Xenopus tropicalis: one gene and its partners. The protein of the gene in region 1 interacts with the protein of each later gene in a biochemical or structural test. Links are inferred from orthologs where the notes say so. Each region holds a gene or a part of one and is shown in the gene's direction. Other genes may lie near its edges. The genes, in order: grb2, faslg, lcp2, itk, pdgfrb, ptpn1 and axl.

Region 1 (4,551 bases):
GACTGTCTATGCCATCTTACAGCAGCCCCCCTGTGTTTTAGTTTTAAACCAGTTATTTGACTCTTTTAGTGTAATGCCACACCAGTTCAGGCACAGTAAAGGATAAGATAGGGTGCATTGGGTCTGTGCAGGAGTGCTAGTAACGCCCCTTAGTGCTCTACCATGTTATTTTGAAGCAATGGAAGGTGCACTGCAAGATGATACATTCCTATTGTGAAGGGGGGGGGGGGGGGGAAGATGAACTGAGTGATAATGACATGGTGACACCCAAGTGGCAGGAGGGTTAGTAGCTCCCGTTAGTGCTGTATCTCAACCTGTGGGTCGGGACCCCTTCGGGGGTCAAACAACCCTTTTACAGGGGTCGCATAAGACCATTGAAAAACACATATTTCTGATGTTCTTAGGAATAATTTTATGGTTGGGGGGTCACCACAACATGAGGAACTGTATTAAAGGGTCGCTGTATTTTTTTTTTCCAGTAAGACAACTATCAGTTGCTCCTCAATGTAGTATGTGTTATTTTACATCTACACCCCCTGCTGTGAGGGGGTCTTAACTGACCAATGGCGCAAATGCCCTCACCATAGGCGTTGGAACTGGGGGAGAGAATTACCCTCACCCCCCCTGGTTTTGGAAGTTGTGGCTAAACAGAGGCAGAGGGGTGGGCGGCACAAGTGGGGCCTCTCCTGGCCCCCAACCAAAAACATCTTCTGCTGCCCCTGCCATACCCATAAACTAGGGTTGCCACCTCTGCCAGCTGAGAAAGTGGGTGGGGGGAGAGGCGGGGTCATGACAATTGCCCGATCACTGAATCAATGCAGGAGGGTTTGACTTTCCCAAAACCAGGTTGTCTGGATCAAAACCGGACAGGTGGCAACCCTACCTTAAACTGGCCCTGGAATGTGGGAAGATATAGATGGGTTTCACACAGGACACCATTAAACACACAGGGAGAAGTCACCATGATAGGGTTCTGTGTAGGCTTGCCACCTTTTCTGGAGAAAAATACCATAATTCCTGTGTACAGCCAAGGGGAGAGTTACAGGTTTATTAGTGATGTGTACAGCCAAGGGGAGAGTTACAGGTTTATTAGTGATGTGTACAGCCAAGGGGAGAGTTACAGGTTTATTAGTGATGTGTACAGCCAAGGGGAGAGTTACAGGTTTATTAGTGATGTGTACAGCCAAGGGGAGAGTTACAGGTTTATTAGTGATGTGTACAGCCAAGGGGAGAGTTACAGGTTTATTAGTGATGTGTACAGCCAAGAGGAGAGTTGTGAATATTTGGTGACCATTTGGACACATGACTATAGATAACCAAATAACCGCAGTCATTGTCCCAAGCTCAAGCCGTATTGACAAAACATGGGCTGCCCCGCCCCTCAAGTGCGTTGCGTTTCACGTCTCATATGACGTCATGCGCCGTTCGCAGGGACTCACGCAGCCCCGGAAGTATCGCGGGAGGATCTGCCCCGGGGCGGAGCGGAAGCGGCCAGGGAGAGAGACAGGAGAAGCGGCTCCGCGGAATTCGGTGAGGGTTCTGAAAAGCTCTATCGAGAGGTGGGGAGATGAGTGTCAGCCGTGTCGTAGAAGTCGATGTAGCGGTGGGTGGGTGTCCGGCTGTTGTTGAGTTGAAAGTCCCATGGGCTGCCAGGGAGGAGGGGGGATAGTGGGAGCTGTAGTACAACAGCAGCAGCAGCAGGAGTGGCGCCCGTTGAAGGGGTGCGCAGAGCGATAGCGATGTTGTTGGGAAGGAGAGTGGGTGAGGGAGTTGGGGAGGCTGATGAGGGGCTGCCGGGTGTGGGGTCGGGAGCAGCCAGTTGCTGTGGGTATGGGTCGGGAGCAGCCAGTGGCTGTGGGTAGGGGTCGGGAGCAGCCAGTGGCTGTGGGTAGGGGTCGGGAGCAGCCAGTGGCTGTGGGTAGGGGTCGGGAGCAGCCAGTGGCTGTGGGTAGGGGTCGGGAGCAGCCAGTTGCTGTGGGTAGGGGTCGGGAGCAGCCAGTGGCTGTGGGTAGGGGTCGGGAGCAGCCAGTGGCTGTGGGTAGGGGTCGGGAGCAGCCAGTGGCTGTGGGTAGGGGTCGGGAGCAGCCAGTGGCTGTGGGTAGGGGTCGGGAGCAGCCAGTGGCTGTGGGTAAGGGAACTGCTGGGGGGAGAGAGGCAGAAAGGGGAAGTGGGGGGAATTGGGGAGACTGAGGGAAGTGCTGAGATGGGCTGAATGCAAGGGGAACTGATGGGGGGGAGATCTATATCAGGATTCCTCAGAAGGGAAGTGGGTAGGGAAATCACACAGCTTGGGGCCCTCCTACTTGTACATTCATTTATAGGGCCACAAGCCTTAGGAGGGGACCTGTGTAATGGGAGAAATGATAGTTTGCCGGGACTGACATCTCACTCTCTGGTGCTGCGGGCTACACTGGTTTCTGTGCAGCCATGATATATGCAGTCACAGTCATTAGCATGTGGATAGGGCCAGGTGGGGTCAGATGGGCCCACACAGTATGATTGGCTTTTAGCATCCCTACCAGACTCCTCATTGGCTTAATTAACCTTTGCTGAGTGATAGCTGACTGTGAGCATTGTGTCTTGGGAACAGTGTGTGACAGCTGTGACAAAGGAAAAGAGACTGCTGATGGGATACCATAGTGGGGGTAACACAGCGAGAGAGAGCAGATGTGCTGGGGGGGTGAAACCAGGGGCAGAACAGGGACAGTTGAGTAGCTGAATAGACTGGAAATTGAGATTAATGAGGGTGAAGCAAGGGGAGAAGTGAACTGTCAGAGGAGGATGATGATGGGTAAAATAGGGCAAATATTATACTGGCTTCCAGACAAGGGGCAGGGGGGGACACAGACTTGGCAACTAAGGGCAAGGTGGGAAAGGAAGAATAGAGTCTGTTCTGGGGGGACAAATTGCCCTCATTTAGATGTTATAATTCACCCCCAGTAGAAGTGAATGGGAATTGCCACTGGGTGTAAGACCTATACTCTGAGTAGGATATACAGACCTGCTGGGCTATAGGAGCAGAAGGGGGATTGGAGGATATATACCAAACCTGGGGGGGGGGGGGGATATAGACTGTATGTGAGGGCTGAGGGGACGCCTGCTGTTGCAAGTGGGAGAAAGAAAATCTGGGCTAGAGGCGCAGCTGCATGTATATTTATAGTGTATGTATATATTTATCTTGTGTTAATTACTTACTGTAGGAAATCAAATCTGGGGCAGTGTGGTGAGATTGGGGTATAATTCACATGCTGGTTTCTAGGGATGCACCGAATCTGGCGAACCCCCAAATCCTATATAAAGCATTTGACCGATTCCTAATTAGCATTGCACACAACGCGTGGCAAAAAATGTTTAACTTCCGTGTTTGCATGACAAAAAGTCTGGTGATTTTTCGGATTCCGTTCAGCCAGGACTGTGGATTCGGCTGAATCTTGGCCAAATACTGGATTCGGCGCATCCCTGCTGGTTTCTGACAGATGCCTGCAACATGCGGCATTTATTATTTATATTTATTATCTGTTTACTGGCTTAATTATGTACCCGGAACATCTTTTTCCCTCTGCTTTATTTAGCAGGATGGGGGCTGCCATTGAACTTAGTTCGTGCGAGCCTTTTCCCCCCATAGGTTTCGGTGGCAACATCGCCACCTGGTGGCCATTATTTGTTTCCTTCTTCATACTAGTTCTTCCTTGATGAATTTGTACTTTGTTCACTTCGTTATATTGTAACACAGCTATAGTCTTGGTTATTTGCATTTCCTCTTATGAGTATGTGGTTAACCCATTGTTATCTTTTATGCTGTCTTGCACTCCCATACACGCCACAATCAGGGTTATAAATTTCTTGGAATAACACTATTCACCTGTTATGGACTCTAGAGGTGCAGGCTTGATTGCATTTGGAATATATAGGCCTGATCACTGCATGCTCAGCGATCAAATACATGGCTCGGAACCTATCATATTGGGTTGGAATCTGCTGATAAAGGGTAGCTAATCGGCTTTGGGCCCCATAACATCTAGTTGTGCTGTTGAAACGGGCCCTTTAAAACACTTTATTTGTGGATTAGATGTATGTGAGAATATATTGAATGTGCAGTGTGGCTTATTTATATAAAGCACTTAACCCCACACGGTCAGGCAGCAGCATCCAGCTAAAGTGCTTGTGTAAACCAGGCAATTACGCAGTTACTTTCCCTTTCATGTGGATGTACATGTTTTGTTTTGGCTACCCGGGCCTGTGCTGAGGGGTGGGGATTGGTAGCTACTCGCAGCCTGGAGAGCAAGCAAAGCTGATTGCTTCACTACCTGGCCATGGCTTGTTATGTATCTGATTATGATGAACTTTTAAAGGAGAGCTAAAGCCTAAATAGGAGTGCATATTAAAGAAATTAAAGTACCAGCCCAGAGGTGCAGCAGTAACAGTAATGATCCAGGCCTTCAAAGTTGACCATTAACAGCTCCCCATCTTGTTAGGCCCTCTTTTGTGTGTCGGTGGCACTGCACATGCTCAGTGTGCTCTGGGCTGCTGCTGAGACGCTAAGATTAGGGG
Region 2 (4,346 bases), on another chromosome or scaffold:
TGCAGGCTCAGTACCGGGATTTTTCTGACTTTACTGTATTATGCATGTCAACTGTCAACCTAGGGATCCCTGGAAGAATGAAATAAGATGGTAACTGTCATATAAAGGAGTAATTTTAGAGGAGTCCTTTAAGTGCCATGACTATGGACTGAGCATTGTCTTGCTTTGCCTCTGCTTAGCTGAGTAAGTGACCATTTTCATCATATCATATATGCTGTGACTGTAATGTATTTTTTTTTTTCAGACACAACTGGCTTTTAACTGTACTTTTTATTGTCATTCTCTAGAAGGGACAAGTTGTAGCTATGAAGGAAGCCACATAAGGTCCATTTTCATAGCGGATAACTAAAGACTACAGCAGCCCCTCTTGTATACCTTTGGTATAAATAGATTGAGCATTGGGCTATACAAAACCTACTGAGACACCAGCATGACTCAGGGATGCTTTGGCCATCAGGCTAGGTAAACAGCAAGGAACAGCTAATAGCTACCATGGAACACTTGTAACTTTAAGATCCAATGCCTCTTTCAAACAGACTGACAATGCTTCTAACTACTGAAAAGCATTATAATCTCCAGCAGTAGCAAGAGGCAAACCTCCAGTCAGGAATGGCTACCTTCCGTCCAACATATGTACCTACCAGGCCCTCCACAGTGGCAATGGGGAGTTATTTGTGGTTAGGCATTGGGCTAACACTTGACAGCTGGGCTCTGCCCCCTTAGGCAGCAGAATTGCCCAGAATGCACCTGTTATTATTACCAAGTCATATACAGTTATATACATATTAACTTATTGAGTAGCAAAATCACACCCACTTCAGAAAGAGATTTGTCCTGAGAACATGGTGGTTTGTTTTATATTCACTGTAAAATATCACTTTGGTTGCACAGTGGGCTGAGAGTAGACCGGTGCTTGGCATATAGAAACTACTTGCAGAGGTCCTCGGCTTATAGAAACAGTTAACCGTGACCCTTTGTGCAATGTCAACCCCAACATTCCTTTTTAAAACCTTTACTATATTTTTTAAAAATACTATGATTTATTAAAAGCACCCTGATCCCTATGCTTTGCTAGTCCATACACTCTCTGAATGACCAAGTAAGAGAATGCTGTAGCATTTTGAATCACACTCTGTTCCACTTTTGAACTATGAAGAGAGGAAGAAAGGGGGTGGAAGAGGGTGGTGTGAATTAGCAGCTAGAATCTATAAATGTACTTACACATGAAACAACCACAGTTTTTTCCTTCAGCAGCTAAAACTACAGCACAATACAAAGACATCAGCAGCACATTACGTTGATTTCAGATTGACAAATCCCATTATGCAGCAAGATATGAGATACGCACAGCCTTCAGTTTTTTGGACGGATCCATGTAGAACCCCACCATTGCCACCATTGCCACCAAACCAAGTCAATATGCCTCTACCACCCCCATTCCCGGACTTCAGGAGAAAACGACGTAAAGATGGCACTTGTACTTACTTGCTGATCATGTTCCTTCTGATTTTGCTAGCACTTTTTGGTGTTGGTCTTGGCACCTATAAAATCATCGAGTTGCAAAAGGAACTGGACAACGTTAAGGAGGTACATAACATATTAATTTTAGATTTTTTCTTTATTTTAACCTAACCAACCTAAGTAACTTGCCAGTGTTTTATCTGGCAGCATAGAAAAGCTTTATAATGATATTTCTGACCAAGCTAGGGTTGCTCATTGGTGGCCCTTAAACAGTGATCCAATGCAGACAAATTTCTGGTGGTTCCTCTGTATGCACAGAAAGCTGATTGACTCCGCTGTCCCAGTGTCATGGTTATCTGCTGTACTTCATGGCAGGGCTTTCAGTGGAAGGGCATAAATTACTTGAAAAACCTTTGGTTCTCTCCACATCACCATTTAAAAATGATGGTACCCTTAAATTTGTCATAGAAATAATAATGCAGCTTGGTTTTACAATAAGATATTTTTCAATAATATCACTATAATAGTTTAGTGGTCTATAGAATTCCATTAATTCATGAGAATAGGAAAACTGTGATTACTTTTTTTTATATAATTAACAAATCCCTGGGCAAGTACAGGCATGGGACCCATTATCCAGAATGCTTGGGACCTGGGGTTTTCCGGATAAGGGGTCTTTCCGTAATTCGGATCTCCTACCTTAAATTTGCTAACAAAAAAAAAATTAAACTGTAGTTAAACCCACTAGGATTGTTTTGGCTCCAATAAGGATTAATTATATGTTAGTTGGGATCAAGTACAAGGTACTGTTTTATTATTACAGAGAAAAAAAATAATTTTTAAAAATGTGAATTATTTGATTAAAATGGAGTCTATGGGAAATGGCCTTTCCTTAATTCAGAACTTTCTGGATAATGGGTTTCTGGATAAGGGGTCTGATACCTGTACCTATGTACAGAATTTAAAAAACTTTAACTCCACTTCTTCTAAATGGTGCATTGAGGGATTTTAAAAATGTGCTTGTTCTAGAGCTAAAAAATTAGCTGTGTCGTGGATTGGTTTATATGTGGTATATATTAAAGTAACCATGAACTAAGAAAACCAATGCACCACCTTACTCCTGCTACTGTGTTTCTGTCTATCCAATTGCTTTGGAGGTGCACAGGACGAAGACAGGACCAAAGGTGTTTCTTGCTGCAATTAAAAAGCATATTTTTGGAGAGTATCCAATAGGAGGAGCTCCTGCTCCATGAAACTACTTTTTTCCCCAGACACACTGACATTAAAGCAGTTGGAATATCCATCACTGTTTCCTTTGAGCCCAAGCTTCACCCCTTGTCTAGTAATAGAAAAGAAAGCAACTTAGCAGCTGGAAATAAATAGTATAGTAGATAATGATTTCCATAGTTGCAGTTCATATGCAGATTTCATAAAGCTGATAATGATTTTTGGAAATGCAAATAATCTCCACAAACTTTTTCTTTCTAGATTTCTGGTGACCAGGCATTACCTCCTGCTTTGGAAAAATTAATTGGTGAGTTACAATATGTTTCTCTATAAAATAAAAGTGTGGCATATGCTATTTAGCAGAGTTTATATGGGAGTAAGTTCTAGAAGTGTTCTCCTTTAGCTGCTGCATTTGGTGAGCAACACTTGACGGTTACTTTGAGGTTGTGAAGTACTAATTTCTATTTCTTGCCTATGGCCAATGCAGGCAATTCATTTAACCAGTGTTGGAATGCTTGGTGCTACATCTAATAACTGTGAGCCTTCCTGCAACATCAACAACAATTGGCCTTGGTCTACCTAGCATTTCTCTCACTTTGCACTTTGTGCTTAGGTTAGGACCATACTGGAAAATCAATTGAATGTTTGCTCTTTTTACAGGGTTGAACAAACACCCAACTGAGAAAAAAGAAAGTAGACTTGCTGCACATGTAACAGGTAGGTAATCATATGTGTTTTTAATGCATGAAGTATGGATTCTTAACTTACAAACCCTTGGACATAATAACTACACATGGTACCAGCCCAAGACCTCTGAGGGCCTTTCCCAGCTACTTTGCTGGGAACTCTTCAGTTGCATGTTACATCCTAATATGCAGTAGCACTCTTGCCTGTTGAAAAGGTTCTTCTGAAGTGGGAATAGAGGGGTAGGGGAATATGGTACTGGGTTCTTACAGGCTCAGGTACAACACTGTTGCAACATTGTCTACAGTCGCAGGTAGACTGGGCTTAATCTACAACTGTTTAACGGTGTTATTCAACATAAGCTCAAGAAATAAGGCTTGGCCAATTTTACCTTATAAATATATACTTTCTTGGTTCTGTCCAGTAAGGAGTAGGAAGTAAAGGAGTAGGTAGTAAAATAGATTACCAGTCCTCAGTAGAGGAGTAGGTAGTAAAACAGATTACCAGTCTATCTTTGCATAGAAAGATTATACAAACAAAGGCTGCAGATTAGTTATAGCTTCTGCCACACATGGCGGATTCTTGGCCTTCAGATAAACAAGGTTTATAATATTAAAAATAAGGAACATGGATTTTTAAAAAAAAAATAAATTTAAAACTAAACAGAAGTCCTATATATTATACTGATTCCGAGGGAGGATGTATATAGGTGTGTACTGCCCCATTACCATATATATTATTATTATTTTAAAAATACCTTTTCAGGTAAAGAAGGTAAAGAAGGTAAAGAAGGACCCACTTTGCCATTAGCATGGGAAGAAACATTTGGACGCGCTTTTACCTCTGGCATCCAGTACAAAAACAGAGGTCTAGTGGTGAACCAGACTGGCCTGTACTTCCTTTATTCATCTATTTACTTCAGAAGCACTTCCTGCCAGAGTAAAGAATTGTCCCATACTGTCTACAAGAAGTCC
Region 3 (3,869 bases), on another chromosome or scaffold:
CCAGTTTGGACCAGTTAGATGTCTCTGCACTCTTTCCAGCTCATTCATATCTTTCTTAAACAAAAGAAGCCCAAAACTTTTCTGCATTCTCAAGATGAGGTTAAACCAGGCATTTATAAAATGGCAGTTGTGTCTGCATCTTGAAGAAGACCACGTTATGATCACTAGTACGTTATGATCACTAGTACATAAATCTGTGTTGTGTTTTCTGACTTGGCTTCCACATTAATCCAGCCAAACTAAAATTGCTATAGTTGCATTCTGACCTACTGTAGTTGTGAAGCTCTTTCCATTTGCAGTAGAGCTGGGCCTCATTCTTCTTCCTTGTACTAGATGGTTGTTTGTTGCATCAGTCAACCAGTCCAATCCTATGTGGGGGGTTGAGGGCAAAGGGCTCAATGTGTTAGAGATGATTTGAGGAAATGAAGAAATGTGCTTATCACCCGTGGTCGTGCTTCTGTGGCCTCTAAAACATGGGGCAAGTCAAATAACTTGTGAGATTTAAGCAATGAGTGCCGGGCTGTAGGATGGGGTGGAAAATTTCTCCCAAATCCTATACATGGATCCCACCTAGGTATGGCCTCAGGGGTTCTAATAGTAAAATAATATGCATGAAGCACACTACTTTCTGTTCTTGAAGTGGATACTCTAAAATATTTTTTATTTTTTCTATTCGCCATTGGGGTAAGTTTTCACAGGGGCAACAGTGACTCTATACATCCTGGCCTTAGACCAACCTTTTTATTTACCATTAGAGGGTTCCTTATCTAGTCAGTAACAACCTCCCACCCTCCAAAAAAGCAAAGATGGGGTATGACCAGTTTGTTTTCTGTTTAAAGAGCATTGAAAAACTTCATAGCTATGCGCATATAAATAAAGCATGTAAATTGCTTTTTTCTCAATTGACTACAGAAGCAGAACACTTTTTTATAGATTTCTGCCTCACACTGCTACAACCCTTTTCCTAATGAAATGTAAGTGCTGTGCATGGTCTGTGAGCCTGATGCGAAAATAAATTGTGCTCCATCTGTGCATTTATCACTGGAAGCTTAGATTCCTGTTAATATTGTCCCTTGATGCTGGAAGCAGGTTTTTCAAATTCATCTCAGAATAAACGGAATAACAGTGTCGTACCATTGCTTAGCGTTTCAGCTTAGTTACAAGGGGGGGTTAAGATAAAAGCTTTTCATACTATTAGGTGTCATTGTCAGTACTTGTTGATATAAGGATATAACAAATGGTTTTTGGATTCTTCTTTAGCATTAAAGGAGACGTAAAGGTACAATCATTTGGGGGGTGCAAAAATGTTAGGCACCCCCCAGTGACAGTAATCGCTTACCTTATACCCCGGGCTGGTGCTCCTGTTAGGAGAGAATTGCACCAGGGCCCCGGGATTCAGAAGAAAGTCGAGGAAGAGGATTGCTCAGTTGCAGCTACCCTGGGCTGGTGCAGTTTTCTGCTAACAGGAGCGCCAAACAGGTAAGCGACTGGGGGGAGTCTAACATTTTGGCACCCCCCAGTGATTGTACCTTTCCTACTCCTTTAATGGCAATGACACACAGCCTACTTGTTGTGGCTACTAAATAGACACCACTGATAATTGTTTCTACTAGTGTTTTAGCAAAGACAATTTGTTATTGAACTGGCTACAAGTAGCTCAGTGTGTGGCATAGCCCTATGTCTTAATAAATGCAATTTATCCTATCTCCTTATTCTTTTAGAATTTATTCCTGAAGACAAAGAATTTTCTGACTCTGACTCATTTGTAAGTAATCATACCCAAGTGATATATTTCAGATAGATAATGCAGTTAGATTAGAGTTTAGAAAAAAAAAATGGAGCACACCTCAGATCAAATATTAAACCCATCTAATCTTAATGGGCAGTGCAACCTTCTGCTTTATGAAGTGCAATGAAGAAGGGGCATCCTCTGTTACACAATCTGTAATCTGTCCTCAGATCTGACTAGCAGGTCTTGGTCATGGCCTAAACCTATAATCTGGTCAATGCATCAAAATAAGTCGTGGTGTAAAAAAAAAAAGTCACAGACAAATAAGGAAAAAGTTGTGTGCATCAAGTGGTGTGGAAGCCATGTTTCCCAAATTTCTTTACCATTACACACATTTTTAAGCAGTTTTGCAAATGTGACAGATTTGCTTATCACTACCATTCACTACTTGCAGTTTTTGAAGTATGTATTGGCAAGGTATAGGGCAATGGTTTCTCAGTATGTGAAAATGTCATTTATATCCAACTGATTACTAATTTTATATCCATATTTAATGTACATATGAACAGGAGGAGGATTATGAAAGTCCCAATGAGTTTGATGATGATGACTATGAACGCCCAGCATCAGAAAATGAAGAGGATGAAAATGAAAATGGAGATTATGAGCCACCTCCTCCCAATATTGAAGATGCTCATCCTCCCATATTTCAATTAAAGCCAAATGTAACTAACTCCCCCTATGCAGGTAAATTAGGTACATTGTGTACCTTTCTAATTACCATAAACCCATAAACTCAATTTACATACAATTAACACTTCTAAAAATTTGGAAAAAAATCTGGAAAAATATGCTTTATTATTTTAAAAAAAAATTAAATATACTCTAAGGGGCAGATTTACTAATCCACAAATTTGAATCACGAATGGGAAAAATTCGGATTGGAAACAAAAATTTCTAAAGATCTCAAATATCCCGAAAATGCTTACGAAAAAATCATATTACTCACGATAATATCGTATTGACGATCCGAAAGTCACAAAATTTTCGTACTGTCCATTGGAAACAGCGGCAGAGCCTTTCCGAATTTTTTATGCGGGCACGCGGAAAAAACAGCGAGAATACGCTCGGAGCGTTCGTATGAATGCTCCAGCGTTCGGGTCTTACTGAATCTCCCCCTAAATGTTTATCGATGGAAAGGTGCTTAATATGCAAGCAAGGCTTCAAGCCAAGCTCCTGTTTTATATGTATGACCATATTATTGTTAGACATTCTGAAGTTTTGAGTTAATAAACATTTCTAATTATTAAATATTTCTTTTGAATATTTAGACAGAGAGTTTGGAAATTCTACCAAAAATCCTCCAGAGCCCCCAAAGAGGCCGGGGAATCCAGGACTTCCACCAAACAGGGGACATACTGTAAGTTGTTTGTTGACCTAAAAAAATGAAAATAATATATGAATATATTTAGATTAAACCCAATAAAAAACTGTCTCTGCAGTGTTGTCTTAATATTTTTAAATGTAAATTTTAATATTTAAATTTTAATGCAGGTAAAGAAGGGACATTATTTATTGTCTGGATGCAAGAAGGTGGAAAATGGACATATTGTAGTCTTACCCCCATATTGGGTTTATTGTCCAGTAGCAGTAACCCATAGCAACCAATAAAATGTTTGTTGTTTGCTTTTAAAGAGGTGACCAGTAAATTCTACCTGCTGATTGGTTGCTATGGGTAGCTCCAGGGCAGACTTAGTGCCTTTTATTACATACCCCCATTAGTATTCAACCCAGCAATGGATTTAGGACCCTGACCAGGCATGTATATTTTCTATTTCTGATTCCATTCTAAGATCTATTGTCCGAAAGAGATGCCTAGAAATTGCTGACTTGGCAAATCAACCTTCAGTGCAATTGTACCAAAGCTGATAAACCAAAAACATAACAAGGTTGAATGATGACCATCAGCTGACCCAAAATGCAACGACAGTATTCCCCATGCTTCCACCAATTCATACAAACTATCAGGGGGCAATCCAGTAATGAAATTAGAATGTTTTAATATCTCTGTGCTTCCCGCAATTAATATTGATATCCAAAGATGGCAAATATTTATCTAACATAAGCAGTTACATACAGA
Region 4 (4,374 bases), on another chromosome or scaffold:
ATTGAACAATGGCGTGTTACTGCGCAGGCGCTGGAAGCGTTTAACGTGGTGCCAACTGCAGGGGGAGCCGTGTGGCTTCCCAAAAAGAATGTTTTATAAGCAGTATATGTTTGGCTGGTTATAGTCTTTGTACTACTGGTTGTTGCTCTTAAAAGCAAAAACAAGCTGGTTTAAAAGATGTAGTGAACATGAGTCTGCTACAGTATAGGTTCATGGCTTTCTACCCACCCATAGAATTCAAAACAATTCCCATATTAAATAGAACATATTTGTAGGTGCTGGACATACATAAAACATTTTTTAAATGTTCATCTTTATTCTCTTTATGGTGTTTATGGTCTGGACCTTTCATTTTAAAATTGAGATACAATAATGCGTATTTTGTGTTTCTAGGGCCAGTGGCACAATGAGAGGTTCCATGTGGGAAATTGCTGAAATTACTTGTGGAAACTGGAGGGCAGTCTGTGAGAAGACTGGGAGCAGCCTATGAAGAGACAGAGGAGCCTGTTATCAGCATGTGAGGTCTGCCCCTGTCAGTGCTTTGAGAGTGAGCACTAAGGGAATGCTCTTGCTTTTGCAGCAGGGGTATAAATAAATGGCCCCTACAGTGTGGCATTGCCATGATGCTGAAGGGCCAGATATACTGCTGGTGTACAAGTATGCTTGGGAGCTGTGAGCGGTAATTTAGTGATGCCCCTGCTACAAGTGTAGGAACACTTAAGCCCCCCATACACGGGCCGATAGAAGCTGCCGATATGGGTCCCTTGGACCGATTCAGCAGCTAATCGGTCCGTGTATGGGAAGAAACGAGCGGCCTGGCCAACCGATATCTGGCCTGAAATTGTCCAGATATTGATTGGCCAGGTTAGAAAATCCAGTCGGATCGGGGACCGCATCGGCTCGTTGATGCGGCCCCCGAACCGACTGCCCCATGGCCGCAACTGTAATCCGATCGTTTGGCCCCAGGGCCAAACGATCGGATTATTTTTTTTTAAAGCAACTTCCTACCCGATATCGCACACCCGTAGGTGGGGATATCGGGTAAAGATCCGCTCGCTTGGCGACATCGCCAAGCGAGCGGATCTTATAGTGTATGGGGACCTTAAGGGCCGTGGTAGACGGGGAGATAAGTTGCCTGCGAGTAATCTCCCTGATATGCCATTCCACTGGCTTGAATGTAAATCGCTGGTGGGATGGCATATGCCTTGAGAGGAAACTTCCGCGATTACGGGAAATCACGTCACTGCATATGCCATCTCACCGGCGATTTACATTTAAGCCGGTGGGATGGCATATGGGGGAGATAAATCGCCCGCAACTAGGGAGATTTGTCACGGGCGACTAATCTCCCCATCTGCCACGGCCCTAAGGGACACAAAATCACACCTTTAGTGCACATTTTCAAAGCACTTGTGACAGCCTCTGGGTAGTTGTGTTATTAGGGGCATAGTGTTGCACAGTCATCAGGACCAGAATGGAATTCAAAATAGGCCCTGGCATTTTAAGTACATAAAGGCCCAAAACAGCCCTCTAAATAGTGACTGTCTATGATAGATTACAGCAGTCCCTGTGGCATATGCCAGACTCCACAGATTGCCAGTCCAGGCCTGTCATTTATAATGCTAAAGGGACAGATAGTCTATTGGTAGGCACAGGGCAAATATCCTGCTGTGGTATATAGTGCCAGAAAGTCATGCTGATGGATAAAGATGATATTGGAGGGATACACCACTGGGCAGACAACAAATGGAAGCATGGAGAGCTGTGGTAGGTGGATTGCTGATTTGGGTTGAGCTTGGGCTGGGTAATGCAAGCTTATTTGGGCATAATTATTGCTATGGAGGATGATCTGCTTTGGCAAGAGCTGAGTTCAAGTGGAGAATATTTGGCACGGCCAAAGCTTAACCAGCTTAACCAGAATGCTTGAGAGTCCCGGGCCACATGGTAAGTTCACTATATGACCCTACTTGGTGCAGGTAACTACAGGGAAGCATATAGTAATTAAAGTGCAAGTCTTGAGTCACTGCTGATTCTTTTTGGGGGGGGGGTAAGGGCTCACAACATTATTCTCTGCCCCCCAGTATTATGGCGCTATTTACTGACTATAATTCACCAATATGGTACTTGTGGCCCTCCATATTGATACATAAGACATGTAACCACTTTTGTAAAGTTACATAAGACATGTATGACTAAAGCCTTCGAAATATTTAGTCCATTATAAGTTAGTTCTTGTGCTTTTTTGTGAGCAATGCACTTGTTATTAAGGTATACAGCAAAGCAGTGGGTAGAAAAATGTGTGAAATGTGCTGGAGAGAGCCCCTGCTGTACACAAGCAACTTAATAGAAAAAAGAAGGATGTGGTTGAAGCTTGAGGTCATAAAACAAGTTTTTCACCTTGCTCTGCTCACTGATGTCTCGATAAGTGACTCCCCCGCTCTCTATGGCAGCACCCCTTCCCCTACTCTGCCTTCTTTTTGAGTATTTCAGCTAACAGTCTCATGCAGTCATGTGATTGTTCATCCTCTCTCTTAGAGTGTTTTCTTAAAGGACTAGGTGGTCTCATTTAATTTTTCTTGAAAAAAGTAAAAAACAAATATTTTCTATGTGATCTGCCTCGGGGTCTTCTGGTGACTCTGGGAACAGGGTCTGGTATCCCAGATGAATAACCCTGTTATCCTGCAACAACAGCTTATTAAGAAGTCCCAGCAGAAGAGAAGGACGTCCCCAGCTAACTACAAGTCCAGGATCTTCATCCTGACCCACTCTTCACTCAACTACTACGAGCATCGGCAAGGGGTGAGCGAATGTAGCACAAGGGTTTGTAGGGCATTAGGTTGGAATGTGGTTTCATTCTTTGGCTTCTTTGTTCACAGTGTTCCTACAAACAAGGGTCTGTGTGAATGTTGTATTGATATGAATGCTTGTGTGTCTTATTAGGGTTGGAGCTACATCCTTGTCTTTCTCTTTCTGCCCCATCTTACTCCCTGGGTTTTTCTCTTGTCTTTATCATACCAGTAAGGACCCATGTAGCAATGTTGGTTATATCCTTGACATGCGCTAAGCTTAGTGCTTCAGCAGTTTTGTCTTACTGTACCAAAGGACTTCATAAATATATTTTAATCTTTTGACCTCAGTACAAAACTGTGCTAACAGTGTTAACAAAAATGATAGGCCTCTAAATAAACACCTGCCTCAATATTGGATGTCCTGACTGCAGGCATATGCATTCATAACGCAAACCTCCTTGGGCTTTATTCCACTATTCTGATTCATAGTCCAGATAAAGTTATTTCAGTTTTATAACTACAACTTCCAGCATTCTTCTTGCTGGGGCATTCTTGCTGGAAGTTGTATTTCTCTAACAGCTGTTTCATCATTAGTTGCTTATATCTGCTCATTATCATAAACCATGTTACATTGTTTATTATGATATAGTAGAGTAACTGGAGGTCATTTAAGAAAAAGAAAAAAAAATTGCAAGGTGCAAAGCCAATCAGCAGCAAGTGCAGGCCAGCCCTGTCTTTACTGCCTGCCATACAGGCAGTTGCGTTTCCATCTGAAAAGTTTGTTTTTGTTGCCCTCCTGATGCAGTGGGCTTGGGGCAAATGTCTTTTCTGACCCAGCCCTTTGTGGTTTGTACCTGTATTTTAGTAATCATGTAATCATGTTGGCTTGAAGTGTATATTTTACAGTTATAACATTAACACAGTTACAAATTAAATGGTGGTGGAAAAAACACACATGTCCATCAATGTGAACCTTTTTGTAATTTCTGCCTTCTAGCATCTCCTGTTTGCCCTAGAGGGGGGGAAATTTTCTTCTTAACTACAAAAAGGGCAATCGAGCCAGTACCTGCATCCAGTGGTGTATCTACAATGTGCCTCAGGCACCCCTTCCCCATAAAAAAAATCTTTGGAGGGGCACGGCATGCAAAGCAAGCCCTACCTGGCCCCCGCATGCTCCTGTACCCTGCTCGTGCCACGTTAGGTAGGAGAGAGCAGTTGGGGAAGGGGGATTTCTAGCACCTACGGAAGAAGCAGATCCCATGGTCTGGGCCCCCCACAACCACATATAACCTCTATAAAGCTGTTAATTTTGGTAACATTTGGTAAACATTTATTTTTATTGTTATTAAATGTAAGCAATAAAGTGGCATACCTCCCTATTGGTAACCCCTAACTAATTATCTTCTGCAAGTGGGGTAGACAAACACTAAATGATGCCCCTCTTTCGTTTAGATGACATTTGCTTTCCTTGGACACAATAAGAAGATTTACTATTTACTCCATGCGCCGGTAATAGACAAACAAACAGACAAACAGCCAGTATAGAAACCAACCCAATCAGTATTTGCCCAAATATTCTGGCCCA
Region 5 (3,869 bases), on another chromosome or scaffold:
CTCACAAGGGGAGGAGAAGCACAGTACATAGACATGGGAGTACATAATTAGGTGGATAAACAGAATGCAAAGGGAGCCCTGCACATACTGTTTGGCCAAGGCATTTATTAGTATAGGCAGGGCTGCCATCAGATATTATAGGGCCCTTACTATTACTTAGTTGACAGGGCCCTTGCCCCAAGGGAGTACAGCTTATTAGCCCACCTCGGGGCTGGACCCTGCCAACCAAATAGAATGGTATTCTATGAAAAAAGGCTTAACTAAGTTGCATGCCTGGCCATGTCTCAGATCAGCCCCTGCCGCAATCAGCGGTCCCTATAATGCCCACTCCTCCACAAGCCCTACATATTTATGATCTGTGAACTGGTCACCTGACTAGGCTCACCCAGTCCCCACACACACATATTTTCCCTCTGCCTGGGTACAGGGCTCCCCTACACCGGTGTGTGATGCTCATGCACCAAAGGAGGAGCAAAAAGGAGAATATAACTTGAACACCCTTCAGACATTTTGACCCTTTTTCCACCCATGGAGGAATGTAATAAAAGTCGTAAACAGAAAAAAAATGCACACAGATAAAAGCAAAAATTCACATTTCACAATATAATGTTGTTAATTAGACTATTCTTGCATTGCAAATTTTAATGGCGCTTTAAAAGAAATTTTATGACATACACTGCGTACTGTCGCAAACAATAACATTTGCAAACTTTCTTCCATCTTCGGAAGTGGTCGCTAAACAACTTTGGCGTTCACAAAGCCCATATTAAATTCGCACAAAGGCTAATTTGTTTGCACAGAGGCAGACATTTTGCCCAATAGACTGCATACCTGTATTTATATATGTATATATAGTTATATGGGAGTTGTATATCTTGCCTAAAATGTTAATTCTCTTTTTATAGAACAAGGATTTGTAAATATAATTACGAATGAAAGCAGCATATCCTATACTATCCAGCATAAAAGCAAATTATTTAGAATCAACATTGAGTCCTACCCACCACCCACCATTGTCTGGCTAAAAGACAACATTACCCTAACAGGCAATAAAACCAACCAAATCACTATTGTGGACAAAGCTACATCTAAAAACAGGTGAGTGCTTTAAGAAACAAACATTTAGGTGTAACCTTTACTTGTTCCAGCAGTTATGGTATTATTATTTTCTATTTACCAAAGCTGAATAGATACAGTTTGTTTTGCCATTGTGACCTGATGGCCAAATGGGCAGAGCATTGGCCAGTCTGGCTACACACAAGTAGTCAAAGTGGCCACAAAATGCCCTTATTGATCAAATCTGGTTGATAAGGCTGGTGGCTCATCATTCCATTTGGCCAGTGGCTTTATACAAGTATGTTATAGGATCATTAACTAAATGGATTTACCAATAAGCTCACACAGATATTGACTAGAATTTGGATTATTTTGACACGTACACACATGCAGATGTTGCCCAATAGAAGGATTTAGCCAGATATTGGTTGGTCAGAGCATCAGGGCTTCAATAAGCTGCAAACTGGGTCTGGAGGGGCCAAGTCAATGGCTTTTATAGCCTGTGCTTGACAACGTGCAGTTAAGAAAATATCCTCTGATATCTGAAGGAAGACAAACTGCAGGCATGGCGGCATACAGGGCATATTTCACTGTAAGTTGAGGAGCACTGCAGTTCTTAAGTATTGGTAAAACATAGGGTAAAAACAGTACTCCGTATGTAATGAGACTAAAAGACATTTTGGGTTTGGCTGCCCTTAGGATCATATAATAAAATATACACCCAAATGTAATTGTTTGTGAGTCCCTTACTGGCATATGGTGAAGGTAGGAATGTTAAGGGGGTATAGGCTTCTGTTTAAAAAGTAGTTACCAGAAACAAATAAATAGAAATACTTGTTTTTGGAGATGTTCTGATCAACCATTCTGTTCCAAGAAAACTATTTGCTCTTTTGGTTATATGTTCCCCCCCCTTCTAATATTGACTTCAGCCCAGCACAGGACCAATCTCTTTCTTGATCTCAAGGTACACAAGTCACTTATCCCTTGTGCGAGTGAAAGAACAGGACGCAGGCCTCTACACAATCAGGGTTTTTAATGAAGATACAACTCAAGAGAAGTCTTTCTACCTCCAGATAAATGGTGAGACATCTCAAATAGAGCCATTTAGACTGAGCTATGACTCAGGGTTTGGCAATGTTCCCATATTTCTCAAGATATTTTAGTTTGAATCAGATAAATTACTTACAGCTCTTTCCCAGTAGATGAAATCTCTCATGGGGGAGTAAAAAATAATTTCTGGTAAATAGCAGTTGCAGTTTGTGCCTGATCATTAGGCAGAGCTGGCACAGAAAGCCTTCCACCTTATTGGGTTTATGTTAAACAGTGACTGCCTCACATTTTCTTTTAGTTTATCCCATTTTTCAATGGCAGTACAAGAAAGCTTGCTGCACAGATAGGGCAAACCATATATCAGTGCTGTCCAACTTCTGTGGCACCGAGGGCCTACATGGTGGAGGGTCGATAATGGAAGCCAGTTTTGACCACTCCCCTTTTTTAAACCACACTTGAAACCACACCCATGTTATCACATGACCATACCGATATTAATTGTGGTAGTACAGCAAAAACCTGCCATACTCTGCCTTCCCTACCCTGCCTGTGTGTGCCATACTCTGCCTGCCCTATGCTGCCTGTGTGTGCCATACTCTGCCTGCCCTACCCTGCCTGTGTGTACCATACTCTGCCTGCCCTATGCTGCCTGTGTGTGCCATACTCTGCCTGCCCTACCCTGCCTGTGTGTGCCATACTCTGCCTGCCCTATGCTGCCTGTGTGTGCCATACTCTGCCTGCCCTATGCTGGCTGTGTGCTGGCACTGCGCCTACAGTCTGCACAATAACTTTATATAAAAAAAACTTTTTAATTGCAGTACCACCTCAGTATATGTTCTTTTTGTAGTGTGCAGGGTTTATTTGTAGGTTTCTCTTGCTCCTTCAGTCTGAGGTGTGAACATCTGAACAATGTGTGTGATTATAGGCTGGGTCTGAGGTGTGAACAATGCAGTGGTTGAACAATGTGTGGATTAAAAAGTGTAAACAACACAGGGGATTACATTTTTTAAACAATACAGAGGGATTACAGCCTGAATCTGAGGTGTTAACCATGCAGGGGGCCAGTACTGACCATTTAAAGATTACACAAATTTAAGCCATCAAAGCAGCCAGACAGGTGGGGGGCCACACAGAGGGGGCCGCATGCGACCAGTTGGACAGCACTGCCATATATGAAATGAAATAGGACCCTATATGAAAGGAATAACACTGATATGCTATTACCTTTTCCTTGTGCAGTGCCCCCTGAAATAACAGAGCTGGTGGATACCCACCCCGCGAGTGGCAGCCAAATAGTCACATGTATAGCTAAAGGAATACCAGCCCCAGAAATGACATGGCACATCTGCACTGAACTCAAAAGGTAACTAGTTGCCAATAATGCTATTTGCTTGCATCTGTCTTTATAATTAATGTCATTAGAGGTCTCAGTTCCCAACCCACTTTGATATGCCCCTGAGTTTTGATTTGATAACACATGCACTATTCACTATTTGTGGCCCTTTTTCCCCATTGTAGGATACTGAAGGTTGTTATATTTTAAATATCTATATAATAGGTGTAACAGTAAGGACCTGGAGTCATGGAAACTTCTTGATAACAAAACATCAGACCTAGAGTTCCACACCAACATCAGTTACATAGTGCTGGAGGGTCCCGGTCCTCACACGGTAAAAAGTGTCCTTCACTTCAAAGGTCTGGAAGATTCCATCACAGTCCGCTGCTCAGGCAAAAACCTCCTTGGGATAAGTTACAGAGATGCC
Region 6 (3,869 bases), about 8.6 Mb from region 1:
GTGCACAATTAGCTGCTAAGGAGCTAATTGTGCACACAGAACGTCTTCCCATAATAACTGTTATGATGGCATAACGTCATTTCCGCTATTAGCAGCTCCCGCCGTGCCTTGCATTATCCCTTGAAAGCCAATTTTTTTGTGAAATCCCTTATGCGGCCCAGCCTCATCCTGACTTTGCCTCCTGCGGCCCCCAGGTAAATTGAGTTTGAGCCCCCTGCCGTACAGGCTATGAGCAAACTTAGGGGGCTGTTCCTGCTGAATTGTGCTTAGTACAGGGGAATCCCTATGTTGCCATAGTTTTATGGTACCTCTCCGTACAGGCTATAAACAAACTTAGGGGCTGTTCCTGCTGAATTGTGCTTAGTACAAGGGAATACCTATGCTGCCATAGTTTTATGGTACCTCTCCGTACAGGCTATGAGCAAACCTAGGGGGCTGTTCCTGCTGAATTGTGCTTAGTACAGGGGAATACCTATGCTGCCATAGTTTTATGTTATCTCTCTGTACAGACTATGAGCAAACTTAGGGGGCTGTTCCTGCTGAATTGTGCTTAGTACAGGGGAATCCCTATGCTGCCATAGTTTTATGGTACTTCTCCGTACAGGCTATGAGCAAACTTAGGGGGCTGTTCCTGCTGAATTGTGCTTAGTACAGGGGAATACCTATGCTGGCATAATTTTATGGCATTTCTCAGTGCAGCCTATAAACAAACTTAGGGGGCTGTTCCTGCTCCAAGAGGAGTGAAGGCAGGAATAACTGAGCATGCCCATTCCTTTGCCCACGTATTTACATATCTTTATACAAGTTGGCTAAAGTGATATTGCCAGTCAGTGCACTTAATGCTATTCAGACAAGTGAGGAAGAGGCAAGGTTTACACTGCCCTGGCAATTGCTGAACAACTCATTCTTTATTAATATATATTTTTTTAAATTTGGAGAATAATCTACCCAAAAGGGGAACTTCCCTGGTTCAGTCATACAATTACAGTTCTCTTTTCCGACTTTGCTCTAGTCTCACACTCATGCACCTCTATGGCAATGGTGACTGTGTAGGGGTGTTAGAGGTCAACAATGGAAGCTTACCAAAGCCTGAAACTGCCAGCAGCTAGTAACCCCTTCCCAGGCACTGGGAAAACAAAGACATACATATATACATTCATATTTACATTAAATATTATAGACATATTCATTCTCTTTATCTGCCCAAAAATGGTGCAGGGCTGGAGTGCTTCAAGATTTTACATTTTTTATATTCTCTGTGTCTTAAAGGGGGTGGTTCACCTTTAAGTTAACTTTTAGTATGTTATAGGATGGCCTAATCCTAGCGGTTTTGGTCTTCATGATTTATTTCTTCATAGCTTCTGAATTATTTGCCTCTTTCTGTTTTTGAAATGGGGGTCACTGACCCTTGCAGCCAAATCACTATTGCTCTGTGGGGCTACAATTTTATTGTTACTTTTTATTCCTTATCTTTCTATTCAGTCCCTCTTCTATCTATATTCCAGTCTCTCATGCAAACCACTGCCTGGTTGCAACAGTAAACAAGGCCCTAGCAACCGGATAGCTGCTGAAAGTATTTTGAAAATAGGTAATTGTTAACACTAATAGCTAGTTTCCCTTTAAATTTTCAAATGAATTCAACAATTACCTGAGCTTGGGTTTTGTACAGTCCCAGTAAAACAAGTGGGTCACCGACCCCTTCTCCACTACTTCTCCGCTACCTTTGCTTTATAACATATTTGGGTTCCGTAGTGGATTTTCCTTGTCCTTTTATTAGCAATTCCTTTTCATAAGATGAATGAAATAGTAAGGACTTTATTTAGACAAGTGGTTAGAGCGAGAGAATTAATTACTCTGACGTAGGCTGTTAAGCTGATACATTTGTATTTGTGTGTTTAAATCAGTAAATACGATTAACTCAAGCCGCTTGTACTTCTGACTCGGTGCCTGTGGCTCATTGGGCCTCTCCAAGTAATTTCACCCGGTTCTGTTTCTGTCCCAGTTGACCACAGTCGAATAAAACTGCACCGAGAGGACAATGACTACATTAACGCCAGTCTTATCAAGATGGAAGAGGCACAAAGGAGCTACATTCTTACCCAGGTGAATATACGCATGTAGATGTTGCAGCAGAAGGGGAGAAGGATTAAACCGTAACATTTGAGTTCAGTGAAACAATAGTTTTCAATGTTTGGCAGCTGCATCCCCTGGTGGGTAAACCCCCCCCCCGCCCCCATTCACTTTTGTAGCAATTGCATTTAAGCACAAGTGCACTGACATGGCAGGCAGCTCATTTGGCATTTTTTTCTGAAAGGTAGGTGGGGAAGTTGCCACTTTTGCTCCTTATTCAGTGTCGTGTAGATATGTGCATAGTGCCCAGAGATAGGTTGTAGCTAGTACCCCCTAGCTAAAATATATATTTTAGTTTAAATGTTACTTTTGATTGTTTTATTTGTATTCCATGATATAGTAGTACTCAGCCTGCAAGCTGGAATTCTTATATGGCCCGAAGTGGTTTCTCATATTCTTATAAGTAACCTTAGGGGGTACATTATTCCTTATAATACATGATACTCAGAGTTCCCTGTATAACTCAGCCTGCAGCCTTGTGCCTTTATATGGGCACAGAACCCCTCAGTGACTTCTAATATCCTTATCATTTACAGTAGGGGGTACATTATCCCTTATAATACATGAGTGATACTCAGAGTTCCCTGTATAACTCAGCCTGCAGCCTTGTGCCTTTATATGGTCACAGAACCCCTCAGTGACTTCTAATATCCTTGTAATTTACAGTAGGGGGTACATTAGCCCTTATAATACATGAGTGATACTCAGAGTTCCCTGTATAACTCAGCCTGCAGCCTTGTGCCTTTATATGGTCACAGAACCCCTCAGTGACTTCTAATATCCTTGTAATTTACAGTAGGGGGTACATTAGCCCTTATAATACATGAGTGATACTCAGAGTTCCCTGTATAACTCAGCCTGCAGCCTTGTGCCTTTATATGGTCACAGAACCCCTCAGTGACTTCTAATATCCTTATCATTTACAGTAGGGGGTTCAACCCACACAGCACAGTAAACTTGATCTCAGCCACTTACTGGAATAAGAGAAAGGAATGGGGAGTTTTTGTTCTAAATAAGTATTATATTTGTGTTATTTTTGTGTGTTCCTTCTTCTATACAGGGGCCTTTGCCAAATACCTGTGGTCATTTCTGGGAGATGATTTGGGAACAGAAGAGCATAGGAGTGGTTATGCTCAACAGAGTGATTGAAAAGGGATCAGTAAGTATTTTCAACTTGTACCTTTTGTGTTTGCTCTGAGCCCAGACTTGTTTAATCTGTGCCACAATGTAGCTGCCTACCCCGTGCCAAAATGAAATATGCGCTGAGCCAATGCGCTTGGGTGAAGGTACAGTTGGCTTCATGCTGCACGGGATTAGATGTGGTTTTCCTGAAGCTCTTTATGCGGAAGTGCAATTTGCTTTCACTGTTTGACAAAAATGTCCTGTAAATCCAGTAAATATTCCCCCTTATAGAATGCACAGAAATACTTGAGTCAAATAAACCTGTAATACCCATTATCAATTAACCTGTAAGCCCGAGGCCATAAATGCTAATGTCATTAGCAGCATTTGGAATTGGCTCCCTCTATGGCTTCCAGACACCCTGGAATAGGCCAGGTTGCCCACGGCCATACAGAAACAGGACTCAAAGCAAAAGAAAAAAACGCAAGAGTCAGTGCAAGTAAAACAGCTGCCTTAAATAAATATGCCCCAAAAGAAGGTTCTTGAAGACCCCGTACAGCAGCCCTATATGTTTGTTGCTTGGACTCTGGTGCGACTTTTTAATCTTAAATACTTTA
Region 7 (3,869 bases), on another chromosome or scaffold:
GGTGCTTCTCTTATCAGTTGCAATCCTGACAGAAAACAATATAGAACACTACCCTCTAAAGATGAGGCAAACTTGATCTAAACATTTGGCTCACACGACTCCTAAATAGACTTTAGAATTCAGGGTGTCAGTTAAAGCACCTTCTTATCATTTTGAAATAACTCAGATTTAGAGATTTTGTTTCCTGTTGATTATTTTGCAGCATTCCCTCCCTGCAGTTGTCAGACTCAGGGCAATATAGCTGTGCAGTAACTATTGAAGGAGAGGAGATTCTATCTGACGAGGCCTACTTGGAGCTGGAAGGTTTGTGCATTCATATCTTTACGTTTATGGCTTTTACACTAGTGTTTATTACTTATCCCGTGTGCCTCTCCCAATTTTTCTAGGTTTGCCAGTTTTTATTGAAGAACCCCAAGATCTAGATACTTACCCTAATCAATCATTCAACCTCAGCTGTTATGCCCAGGGTCCCCCTGATCCAGTTTATGTGATATGGCTGCAGAATGGGGCCCCCCTAAACTCTCTCAAGGATGCCTTAGCATTGCCGCCTTCTTTTCTAGAAGTGAAAGGTAAGAGACAATGTTCTGGTTATCAAAAAATGGTGGGTCAATAATCAGCTACATTTCTGCTTAGATGTCCTTGTATAGTTTAAGCTGTCTGCAACTGTCCATGATGATGTCAAAGAATTCAAAATGTGTTTTGTTTAACAGATATCATTGCATATTATTATTATTTATTATTATTCCTCTGTGCACCACCCATTTTGGAAAGCAGAAGGACTTCAAATACTAGAATAGAACAAGAGGAGGGAGTGGTTGCATGACCCGGCGAGCCTAAGGGGGCTTGGAAAATGGTTTGTCAGAGTATTATGGTTTCCTTTAAATCTGTGGAATTAAGAATGTCTCTGTAAAAAAAAAATTCATTCATATTTATTTATGGAAATTCAGATATTGTTTTTGCGCCTTTTTTTACATAACCCCAGAACAGGGATATATTTTCCCTTTAACATGCTGAGATACAAGCAGGGAATTGTTATTTTAATAAGGCACAGGTTGGGCTAAACACACATGTAGACATCACTAAAATGGTTGCTTACACTTCTATCACAAACACATTTTGAACCCCCATTTTATCTTGGTAAAACAGTCTCACTGAATTGACTGTATACAGCCTACAAGTTCCATCTCCTCTCCATGTTCTATTTTGGATAATAAAGCAGGGGCTTTTTTTGTAATTCATTCCCACTCTATTTTTAGTTGCTGTTATAAGTCTTTTTTTCCTTTTTTCTGGGGGAAATAATTTTTTACTGACATCTGGCATAGAAGAAGGATGGGGGTGGGAAATATTGAAAGCTTTCAGTCTTGGCAGAAATCAGGAAACTAGAAACTAGTTTTAAAACTGAAGCACATTCTGTACCAAGGGGCTCAGCCAACCATTGACAGAATGTACAGTAAATACCTGCCATACTAATGTAATACAGTAAGAGGTATACATATCATGCTGTGTAAAAAATAGAGTAAAACATTACCGGGATGTTGCTCATAGCAGCCAATCATATGCTTTTCTAACTGTTGAAATCTAATTGCTGATTGGTTGCCCTGGGCAACATCACTGGTAATGCTTCACTCCACTTTTTACACAGCATGACTAATTTAACCCTTAGGGGTATATTTATCATGCTGTGTAAAACGTTGCAACCAATCAGCAATCAGATTGTTACAGTAGGAAAACCAAAGAAAAGCATTTGATTGGCTGCTTTGAGCAACATCCCCGGTAATATTTTACTCAGCATGATATGTATACCCCTTACTGTATTACATTAGTAGGGCAGGTATTTACTGTATATTCTGTCAATGCTTGGCTGAGCCCACTTTTTACACAGCATGATAAAAATACCCCTTAATGAACTAAATACTAACTTTTCAACTATTAGTGGTACCATGGTTAGGTCTTTCAGGGATCTATGTTTTTATTAACCAAAAGGTGGGGATTGAGTTAAAACAGTGTGTTGGTCAATTTCTTCTCAGGCTAAAGGGCACCAATGGCAGTCAAGTGTTTATGGGTCATCCTGTAGCAATACCAAAGAGCCAGTTCCTTGTAAAGCTGCAACTAAACTATAGGCTGACACCAAATACAAAATTTATGCTCGCTTAAAATAAATAAGTAAGGTTGATGCTAATGTTATTTATGGTTCAGATATTCATCTGACTCAAAGGATCAAGGTACAAATCCGTACCAAATATAAAGTAGAGACCCGGGTGTCCATACCCCAGGTCTATCACTCAAGTAGTAGAAAAGTCTGAGAAGCGATATAAAGAAGCTCACCGTAGTCCCGTAGTGGCCCGGGTGCTTAGGGCCCCGAACCCGTAGCTAAGGCAAAATATCCAAAATAATGAAGGGTAAATCCAAGTGCACCGGACAGCAGGAGATTCTCTTCAAACTTTAGCCTTTATTCATCCATTTAAAAACAAGCCACGCCTAACGCGTTTCGTGCACAGATGCACTTAATCATAGGCAGCCTATGATTAAGTGCATCTGTGCACGAAACGCGTTAGGCGTGGCTTGTTTTTAAATGGATGAATAAAGACTAAAGTTTTAAGAGAATCTCCTGCTGTCCGGTGCACTTGGATTTACTCTTCATTATTTTGAACTATAGGCTGAAGCAGGTTTCAAGCAGGTGCCTTGTATATGTGCTTACAGTACATTTAGTCAAGGATAGTATATACATGAGCAATGATAGTATATACATGAGAGTACTTATGGTTACATTTTTAGTTTTTGCAGACAAAGAGTTTGTTATTCCACAAATACAATTTGTTTTTTGGATTTAATTATAATCATTAAAGATAATAAAATGCAAAAATGCAATGCAGTGCAAAAATGTAAAATGATACTGGATTGCCTACTCATCCAGTGATAGAACTACAGCAGAATAAAGGAGAAGGAAAGGCTAGTGAAGAGTTAATCTCAAGCTGCAGGCATACCTTCAGTTGTCTCAATAGCGCCCTTAAGTCTCCCCATATTTCACCTGTTCAGAAGATCAGAAGCCAAACAGGAAGAAAAAACACTGAGCTGTGTAAAGAAAGTTCCCATAATGCCTCACTCCTGCACAGACACCCAGACCAAGTGAACATGCTCAGTTAATAAGACTATGCTTCCTGCTTATTGGCTCAGATCTACATTCCTAAGGGGGGGGGAGTTCTTAGCATTCTTGAGGGAGGGGGGAGCAGGAGAGAGCAGAGAGCTGCATGTCTCTGGCACAGGAATTACAGACACAACTAATCTTTTTTCAGAGAAGTCAGTACAGCGTTTCTGTAAGTGCTTATGGCTGTATTTACATAGACCTTTCTGATAAAGCTTACTTAGTTTTTACCTTTCTTTCTCCTTTAAGTACTATCTACATGTACTATGTAAAACATATCATATTATATAAAATATAAGGATATTAGATGTCACTGGCGACTTTCATATCAATATAAAGACATGGGGCCAAAGGCAGAGTTCTTTCATACAGGTCATTAAACTGTGAGGTCAGCGAGTCATGTGACACAAATTATACCAACAAGCACTGATTCTAACTATTGGCATCAGTGGGCACCATTTGTAAGGATACAGTAGTTCTAGCTTGCCAGAGTTGTGGGAAGGGCTCGTGTGGTTATATAACTTTAGTGGGTAGGGAGTTTTCATACTGTGTTTTTAATGTAATGGTGGTCTAAAACCTTGAATAGGTAAGGTAGAACCAAAGCACTTACTTCTTAGAAATATGCCATGGAAGATTCTTATGCTGCACTACCATATCCCTCAAGGTTCTACTTTAATCAATATCCTTACAGAAAACAGACAGTGAAAAGCTATGCTGACATCTCTGC

Evidence for each region.
Region 2: the proteins of grb2 (region 1) and faslg form a complex in vitro, tested with the Homo sapiens proteins (2 studies listed by BioGRID). The link is inferred for Xenopus tropicalis from reciprocal best matches to the Homo sapiens genes GRB2 and FASLG.
Region 3: the proteins of grb2 (region 1) and lcp2 form a complex in vitro, tested with the Homo sapiens proteins (4 studies listed by BioGRID and IntAct, with this or other methods). The link is inferred for Xenopus tropicalis from reciprocal best matches to the Homo sapiens genes GRB2 and LCP2.
Region 4: the proteins of grb2 (region 1) and itk form a complex in vitro, tested with the Homo sapiens proteins (2 studies listed by BioGRID). The link is inferred for Xenopus tropicalis from reciprocal best matches to the Homo sapiens genes GRB2 and ITK.
Region 5: the proteins of grb2 (region 1) and pdgfrb form a complex in vitro, tested with the Homo sapiens proteins (2 studies listed by BioGRID). The link is inferred for Xenopus tropicalis from reciprocal best matches to the Homo sapiens genes GRB2 and PDGFRB.
Region 6: the proteins of grb2 (region 1) and ptpn1 form a complex in vitro, tested with the Homo sapiens proteins (2 studies listed by BioGRID). The link is inferred for Xenopus tropicalis from reciprocal best matches to the Homo sapiens genes GRB2 and PTPN1.
Region 7: the proteins of grb2 (region 1) and axl form a complex in vitro, tested with the Homo sapiens proteins (2 studies listed by BioGRID, with this or other methods). The link is inferred for Xenopus tropicalis from reciprocal best matches to the Homo sapiens genes GRB2 and AXL.

What each region holds. Positions count from the first base shown.
Region 1 is NC_030686.2:44,467,945-44,472,495, reverse strand, and holds the start of grb2 (growth factor receptor-bound protein 2), read left to right. Parts: upstream 1-1,539; 5' UTR 1,540-1,559; intron 1,560-1,584; exon of another isoform or gene 1,585-1,607; intron 1,608-4,551. UniProt on the Homo sapiens protein: Non-enzymatic adapter protein that plays a pivotal role in precisely regulated signaling cascades from cell surface receptors to cellular responses, including signaling transduction and gene expression.
Region 2 is NC_030680.2:107,205,784-107,210,129, reverse strand, and holds the start of faslg (tumor necrosis factor ligand superfamily member 6), read left to right. Parts: upstream 1-1,259; 5' UTR 1,260-1,323; coding exon 1,324-1,587; intron 1,588-2,949; coding exon 2,950-2,995; intron 2,996-3,348; coding exon 3,349-3,405; intron 3,406-4,137; coding exon 4,138-4,346. UniProt on the Homo sapiens protein: Cytokine that binds to TNFRSF6/FAS, a receptor that transduces the apoptotic signal into cells. Involved in cytotoxic T-cell-mediated apoptosis, natural killer cell-mediated apoptosis and in T-cell development.
Region 3 is NC_030679.2:32,338,414-32,342,282, forward strand, and holds part of lcp2 (lymphocyte cytosolic protein 2), read left to right. Parts: intron 1-1,721; coding exon 1,722-1,765; intron 1,766-2,298; coding exon 2,299-2,476; intron 2,477-3,060; coding exon 3,061-3,149; intron 3,150-3,869. UniProt on the Homo sapiens protein: Adapter protein primarily involved in signaling pathways within T-cells, as well as other immune cells such as platelets, mast cells, and natural killer (NK) cells.
Region 4 is NC_030679.2:14,179,081-14,183,454, reverse strand, and holds the start of itk (tyrosine-protein kinase ITK/TSK), read left to right. Parts: upstream 1-1,245; 5' UTR 1,246-2,661; coding exon 2,662-2,799; intron 2,800-4,374. UniProt on the Homo sapiens protein: Tyrosine kinase that plays an essential role in regulation of the adaptive immune response. Regulates the development, function and differentiation of conventional T-cells and nonconventional NKT-cells.
Region 5 is NC_030679.2:21,233,313-21,237,181, forward strand, and holds part of pdgfrb (platelet-derived growth factor receptor beta), read left to right. Parts: intron 1-905; coding exon 906-1,098; intron 1,099-2,020; coding exon 2,021-2,136; intron 2,137-3,345; coding exon 3,346-3,469; intron 3,470-3,664; coding exon 3,665-3,869. UniProt on the Homo sapiens protein: Tyrosine-protein kinase that acts as a cell-surface receptor for homodimeric PDGFB and PDGFD and for heterodimers formed by PDGFA and PDGFB, and plays an essential role in the regulation of embryonic development, cell proliferation, survival, differentiation, chemotaxis and migration.
Region 6 is NC_030686.2:35,883,200-35,887,068, reverse strand, and holds part of ptpn1 (tyrosine-protein phosphatase non-receptor type 1), read left to right. Parts: intron 1-2,002; coding exon 2,003-2,103; intron 2,104-3,190; coding exon 3,191-3,289; intron 3,290-3,869. UniProt on the Homo sapiens protein: Tyrosine-protein phosphatase which acts as a regulator of endoplasmic reticulum unfolded protein response. Mediates dephosphorylation of EIF2AK3/PERK; inactivating the protein kinase activity of EIF2AK3/PERK.
Region 7 is NC_030684.2:79,144,337-79,148,205, forward strand, and holds part of axl (tyrosine-protein kinase receptor UFO precursor), read left to right. Parts: intron 1-202; coding exon 203-303; intron 304-386; coding exon 387-569; intron 570-3,869. UniProt on the Homo sapiens protein: Receptor tyrosine kinase that transduces signals from the extracellular matrix into the cytoplasm by binding growth factor GAS6 and which is thus regulating many physiological processes including cell survival, cell proliferation, migration and differentiation.